Xenopus tropicalis: one gene and its partner. The protein of the gene in region 2 purifies or fractionates together with the protein of the main gene of each other region. This does not show direct contact. Links are inferred from orthologs where the notes say so. Each region holds a gene or a part of one and is shown on either strand. Other genes may lie near its edges. The genes, in order: eif3b and eif4e.

Region 1 (3,829 bases), on a different chromosome or scaffold from region 2:
CCCCAACCCCGTGGTGTTGCCCCCACAGTTAAGGAACATCTGGTACAAAGTGTCCCATTTTAATGCATGTGAGAACATTCAACAATGTATTAAATTAAGATTAGGATACATTGTCCAGTATCCAACAAAATTGACTTGTGGGCACAAAATAGATATCTGATAAATGGCTATCCCCTTGCATGGCCACCCTCTGTTCCATTTTTTTGGACCAATGACCTAGGTGATTGGAACTGTATAAGTAAAGGGGAATTGCATATTCTCTTTAATTCCATACCAACTGATGCATTATGTATTTGCTGATGTTCAAACCTGTCTGAAATCTGCTGTCTGATGAGATTGTAAATGTATGGCAGGTAAGGGGCTATCATGAATGAATATCCTGCAACCTGTTGAGCAGTGTGGTCAAAATGGACTACTGTGGATATGTATTTATATAATATATACTACATCTTCATGTTTTTTTAACTTGTCAGAATGTAACCTATTGTTTAGAAACTCTCCCAGTCTGCACAAGTAGAACCTGATGACAAGATAATGGAAGCAGGTGATTGTAGTCTTTCCAGTTAACACCTCCAAAGTTTTAATAAAGCTTAGGCACTATCTTAGATATTTTGCATTATGACATTAATTGCATGTCTTGTTTAAATCCAGTAAACTAAAGAACACTATGATGCTCTTGTTTTGGGTAATATCAGATGGGCTGTCTGTCTAAATGTCTCCTAAAGGTGGCCATACACGCACCGATATTATCGTACGAAACCTCGTTTCGTACGATAATCGGTGCGTGTATGGTATGTCAGCGAGCCGACCGATGTCGCAGGAAGCTGCTGAAATCGGTCGGCTCGTCGATCGGCCAGGTTAGAAAATTTTGATCGGGCGCCATAGAAGGCGCCTGACCAAAATTCTCCCTTCAGAGCTGAATCGGCAGAAGGAGGTAGAAATCCTATTGTTTCTACCTCCTTACCTGCCGATTCAGCCCTGAATGGTGTGTGGCGGATCTGACGATGTTTCGTGCGACCGATGGTCGTACGAAACATCGTCGGATCGCCACGTGTATGGCCAGCTTTAGCATGGGAACCTTATGTAAACTTTTTTGTGTTGGCAACAACTGTTCACATTATTGACTGTGCTACCTGCGGTCTGTATTGGTGTTGTAATGATAGTACCTCCCTAAGCAGCTGACTTTAAAACTGGATTTTGTCATGGATTATGTCAGAGGTTGACTATTTTCCACCAAATAAAATTTCAGTGTATGCTTTCAATTTTCTTTCAAATAGTTATATGTGGAAATCAAATTAAAACATTGAAGCAGAAGACAATATTAAGCTTTTTCAGTTTTAATATGTCTTTTTTTTTTTTTTTTTTTTTTTCCCCCAGAGTTGCTTGGTGATATCCTGAAAGACCGTCCTCAAGAGGCAGATGGAATTGACTCTGTAGTTGTGGTAGATAATGTGCCACAGGTTGGACCTGACCGCTTGGAAAAACTCAAAAATGTCATCAATAAAATTTTCTCCAAATTTGGTAAAATTACCAATGAATATTATCCAGAAGCAGAAGGCACCACCAGGGGGTATGTAGACACAACTGAACAGATAAAATAAGGAAAACGGCACAGTGGGCAATTATCTGTGTATTGCGATCTAACTTGAGCGGTGGCCACAAAACTCTGTGTATTGCCCATTATTTGTCCTCAGTGGAAATTGCCTTGACTATACCAATGAATTCATAGGTCAGGGTCTGTAGCTCACTACTGCATTTGTGAGTGTTAATTGTCTGACTATAGGTCATTGAGGACCAGTTATGAGTGTTAACATGTGCTTAACATGCTTGCGCCAAGCAAAAAAATAAACTACCAAAATTGTTGTTAATGTAACACACAACATGCTAATATTATGCCCGTGGCACACATGGCCTATTCTCCACCAGCTGAAAAAAATGCTGTGGCAATAAACCTTAAAGTTTCATTCAGTAACTGCTTGACTGTAGTTAGATTGTATGAAGGAGCGAAAAGTACCGTATATACTCGAGTATAAGCAGAGTTTTTCAGCACTAAAAACATGCTCCAAAAGTAACCCTCGGCTTATTCTCGAGTATATAGTAAGTTTGCATTTGTCCCAAGTCATTGCCAAAGGGATGCGCCGTAGGACAAGGAAGCACCATATAAAAGAGACATTACCTACACTAAAGAGGGGTCTAAACAAGACTTTCCTCTGCCCCAAACAAGGTAAGCGCTGTACCTCCCAGCTACTTATGCTTTGCAGCAGCTCTTCAGGGAGACGCCATCTCTCTATGCAGCCAGTTCCCAGGCTTCCCCCCCCAGCCTAAGCCTGCTGAAGCTTCTTACACTTACCCTGGAGCCCCTCACCATGTATAAGTGACAAACCTAGGAACAATGTACAGTATCCCCCATTGACTACTTTCCCAACCTGTGCCTTACAGCAGTTTGGCCTAATTGAGTAGCCTACTGCCTCCACAATTGATTGTGGGTCAAAATGGGGCCTTATTATTACATATAACCAAGTTTATCTTGCTTGAGTCTGATAAAAAATAAAATATATCTTGCAATCCACTGTCCACATCACTTTTGTTTTCATGTGTGAGACCTGGGGTGGCGCACGGGGGGGGGGGGAAGCGGCGTGCCAATATGTATGTAAAATTAAATGAGATATTAACCTGTACAACCTTGCATATGGTTATCTTATGTTGGATGCGCCTCATTTTCCAGCCCATACCTTGTGTTTATTAATGGTAGTCATGCACTTGTGAGTGTCCTTTTATTAAATAATTTGATTATTGAAACTTGGCAGTAGCGACGGCATTTCTTACCCTAGGCTTATACTTGAGTCAATAAGTTTTTCCAGTTTTCTTAGGTAAAATTAGGTACCTCGGCTTATACTCGAGTATATACAGATGTCTGCTTGGCACTCACTGAAACTGCTTGCAAACCTCACCGTTGGCAGGCAGCACAGTTCAAGAAACAGTTGCAAAGTATCTGCACAGATGCTATATTGTAGTTACAGTCTTAAATACCCATGCCAATGTATACATACCTATACCATAATAGACAAGAAAGCCTACCAGCCTTTTGCTTCTCCCAGAGTATGTGAAACACTGATGGCTTGACATTTCTGTTACACTGTTAGCAGGATCTTAAACAGTTTAATTTCATTTATGGGCTAAAGAGTATTATAAAGCTGAATGTTATTGTGCTCAAGTTTTGTTTTAAGTTTGGTTGATTACCAACTAAATATATTTTTAACATTTTGTTTTTAGATACATTTTTCTGGAGTATGCTTTGCCAACTCAGGCACAAGATGCAGTAAAGAACGCAGATTGCTACAAACTGGACAAGCAACACACATTCCGCGTGAATCTCTTCACCGACTTTGACAAGTGCGTCTTTATGTTTTGCATTCTCTTTGCAGTTTGTTTGGTTTTTTTTGTTTTTTGTTTTTTTTCAACTTTACATACATGATCATTTCCACTCTGTTTCACAGGTACATGGTTATTGGAGATGAGTGGGAAGCACCTGAAAAACAACCATTTAAAGATTTTGTAAGTGCAACTTCAGTTTGTATTCTCATATTCAACAACTTGGAAATGTGAAAGAATTTCTTACATTTGTAGTGTCCACTATTAATGATAATTTAGCAAATTTTGCATTTTGAAATTAACTCTTTAATGAAAATCTATTGCTGTTGTGCAGTCTGTAGTTTTAGACTTAAAGCAAGTTTCAGTGTGGCCAAAATATTGGCTAATATTCAGATTGGGTCAGCCTTCCAGTCTGACAGGGATATCTAAAGGTTAAACCTTTTTCATTTTTAAATTC
Region 2 (3,829 bases):
CCTTCCAATTTTCTGCATGGATGTTGGTGAAAAGGTTTTTCTGTCAGGCTTTTCAGCAACTTTATTGTGGGTAGAAGTTTCTGGGTGGATGCTCAGTCTGCAAGTTGCAGTTCTGAAAACAAATGTGTCCAGTTTTCCTATAGTCAGCTCAGTGCTTCCTGACGTAGACATTCTGTGCTCTGAGACAACATAATCGTTGATCTTGTATTTTTTTGTGTTGCATGTAATACTGACACATTTTTACAAGTCATCAGTATGTCATCTTTAGGACCTTATTTCCCAGGGATGATAGGGTGTCTTCACTCCTAAATTAGTCAAGCCTAAAAGTTGGTGTGGCTGTCCCTTTGAGAATCATCTGTTTTGGAGGGCAAAATAGTGTATTCTGCAGGAAATGAGGTCCAGGGGATGACATACCAGAGACTTTTAAAAATGTGTTCGCAAAATGAGAAAAAATTGATTTATGTAGTTCTAGCATCTGATGCATAGCTAATTATTTAGTACTATATATCAGTGTAACGTTTTTAGAGTTGTCAAAAATCTGCTCCTTTAGTTTGATCAAGTGAATTATTTCTTTTAATTCTAATCTTAAAACAGCTATTCGCTTATGATCTTAGCAGATCTTCATCTCCGAGTATTCTCTGTACAGTGAAGTACATGGGCCGGAGTACAGTTTGATAGTTTCTTCCAGGAAGATTTTCTCCATATTCAAGTTTGTTGGATGGAATATTAGTGCACCTTAGTTTTAAAATAGTGTCACGGATTCTCAGATGGATAGATAGCAAGGGTCCATGCCTGTGCAGGACATTCACTTTTTTTGTGCTTCTCCAGTGTAATTTTGGCCACCTTGTGTTTAAGATAATTGCTCTGTGAAAATCTGGAGTTCTTTTGCAGTAGTTTTTCCCTATTTTGCACCATCCATTCTTCCTTGTATTTTAAGTAGTTTCCCAGACCTTTTTTGATAAAAAGCTGAGAACTGAAAAAATACATTAAGTGAAAGAAAAAATGTTGAAGTAACCTGAGACCTAGAAGATTGAAAAGTAAATCTGATCTAGAAATGTGTGGTTACCACTCTTGGTGGTGTGCAAGTCTGTGTTTTTAAATTAGAGATTGTAAACCACCCTGAAGCTGGTGATATACGTTGAGATTTTTCTCTCCCTAGCGACTAATTTCACTGCAATTCAACAAATCGGCCAAATTATTCTAAAGTTAGTAGACACCGAACGATTGTGGATATAGCAGTTTTTCTTCCAACATTGGTCAGAAAATTGATTGGGCAGGTTTGAAAATTTTCGTTGTTAACAATGAAATTTGACCATTGTCCAATTATTTGTAGGACCAAACAGGTCATTTTTCTAGTTTCAACTAGATGATATTGCTTATAATGGTCCTTTTCGTTGATGAGCAGATGTTACTTTTAAATGATTGTTTCAGGATAAGCTTGGTCTTACGAAAATGAAGAGATCTTTTAAAAATCTTAATGTGTATGGCCAACTTATGGGTAAGGTCACACAAGTGTATTATCAGCCTGCGGATAAGCAAAGGCTGACGATACACCTTACGCTTAAAAAAAACTTTTTGTGCCTGCTCCGAGAAGCATTGAATCCACCTGGGTGCAGGCACACACGGCCAATATCCGCCAACTAACGCCAGACTTGGAATTGCCCAATATTTGCTGCCTGTGCCTGCACCCGGGGTGGAATCAATGCTTCCAGACGCAGGCACAACAAGATTTTTTTTTTAAGCATGGGGCATATTGTCAGCCTTCGCTGGGCAGAGCTACACAACTTTTTAAATGGCGCTAAAAAGATGAGGCAAATAAATCTTGTTTTACCACCATCTTAGTTCTCATAGATAACCACAGAAATGACATCCCATTGTCAATACATTATGAAGTACTATTAATAAATATCAAATATACAATTAAGACTGTTAGATTTAAACAAGCCTTGTGGTCCAAGGCATATTTCTAAAAATCGAGCATCACGCTCCCAACACCAAATCGAAAATTTAACATTCATATTGTACTACTCAAAGTTCCAGAATATGGGATACACAACTTCACGTTCTGTATTGAACAATATTTTTGACTTTTTTTTTTTTTGTTTTGTTTTTGCAAACCGGAACTAACTGGATTTAAATGTTTCCCTGTTTTTTTGTTAGGAGGGTACCAATCCCCAATCTACGGAAGAGGAAAAAACAGAGACTAGTCAGGAGATTGTAAGCCCCGATCAGTACATTAAGCATCCACTACAGAACAGGTAAAAAAATCCATATTGCAAATGTGCTATGCATGAATAATGCCATTTTAAAGACAGTTTATATACTATAATTACATTTTAGGTTAACTAATAACCTCTGTAGATTGAGTAGAACTGAGTCAGACTAATTTCTTTTTTTGAGTGGTAAATTACAATGTATACATTGCAGTGTTAATGCGGTGCACATGTCTCTAACCTGGCCTGTTAAAATATGGCTTACTTGAGGTTTTATAATCAAAATTCATATGTCCCAAGAGTAAAACAATGCCGTGCCCTGCTAGTATAGACTAGTTGCTGAACATCTGTTAAGCCAAAATGTTCTCTACTTAAAAGAAACTAGAATGTAGTAAGTAAGACCAGAATGGTTTATGTATCTGCACCTGCTTTGCTCTGACTGATGCCACCTTCCATTGAGCTGTGTTGAAATTCTCTGAGAAACCAGCTGCTTCAAGTACCAGCATGTTTATATGGCTGTAGAAGGGCAGGCTGAGAGATGTATTTTTTTCTTTTATATGATAAGACTCCTTGGAGATTTCACAATGCAGTCTGTTCTTTTTGGTAGGGTGCAGTCTGTAAATAATTATAATTTATATGACATTTAAACAGCAAATTGTACCATAACCTAAAGGAAAGTCAGATATGGAATATTGGTATTGTATGCATACAGAAATATTAAGCATGCTTGTTCAATACAGCGGACTGCATGTAATTAACATGGTTTTTTTTTAAAGTGAATATCAAATCATGGTCTCTTTAAAGCCATGGTACCTGAAGTAACAAACTATATAACTGCCGTCTCCATTGCATTCATATTAAACTTGCAGCACTGTGTGCTATTGTGGGAATATGTGCATATAAATGTGGTCAGCCAGTCGGTATCTGAAAAATGCTATTTTTGGACTTGTAGCAGCTGGATTATGGGGACCTCCTTCCTTGAGACTAAATACAAAAATGATTGGAGGGCTTTAAAAATTCATTAAACAATGTGTCTATGTATGTGTAGAGATATTAACAATTAACTTTTTGGAAATTTTTAGATGGGCCCTTTGGTTCTTCAAAAATGACAAAAGCAAAACTTGGCAGGCTAACCTTCGCCTAATTTCAAAATTTGATACAGTTGAAGATTTTTGGGCGTAAGTATTTTTTTTTGAGCATAAGCATAATAAATAAGATGTGCTTTGAATATTTTACCTATTTTAATGTAAAATTGCTTTTTATTTATTTTATGTATTTATTTTATAATAAGCAAAAAAATATTGTTTTCCTTCTTTCACCCACAACCCCCCAATTTCAGGAGAAAAAACAAGCTCTTTATCCTCTCCCTTCTACCTGCTGCCAGCGTCTTAGGTTTACAGATCACACGGTTGCTAAGAACAACCTTGGATTTTCAAAGTATAGGTTCTTTCATTTTTACTCTTTGGATGTGATTGTAATCACTTAACCTGATACCCCTGACCAGTGCTTCTGTTAACAGGAAACTGTCCCGGCTCAGGGTACATGTGAGCAAGTGATACTTTTCTCCCCTTCTTTATTAAAAATCCTGGGGCCAATGCATGTGCAGTAGCGAAAAA

The links.
Region 1: the proteins of eif4e (region 2) and eif3b purify together in Homo sapiens (affinity purification with western blotting; 5 studies listed by BioGRID and IntAct, with this or other methods). This does not show direct contact. The link is inferred for Xenopus tropicalis from reciprocal best matches to the Homo sapiens genes EIF4E and EIF3B.

The regions. Positions count from the first base shown.
Region 1 is NC_030685.2:31,110,462-31,114,290, forward strand, and holds part of eif3b (eukaryotic translation initiation factor 3 subunit B), read left to right. Parts: intron 1-1,377; coding exon 1,378-1,570; intron 1,571-3,273; coding exon 3,274-3,393; intron 3,394-3,497; coding exon 3,498-3,555; intron 3,556-3,829.
Region 2 is NC_030677.2:74,898,698-74,902,526, forward strand, and holds part of eif4e (eukaryotic translation initiation factor 4E), read left to right. Parts: intron 1-2,160; coding exon 2,161-2,258; intron 2,259-3,295; coding exon 3,296-3,391; intron 3,392-3,829. UniProt on the Homo sapiens protein: Acts in the cytoplasm to initiate and regulate protein synthesis and is required in the nucleus for export of a subset of mRNAs from the nucleus to the cytoplasm which promotes processes such as RNA capping, processing and splicing.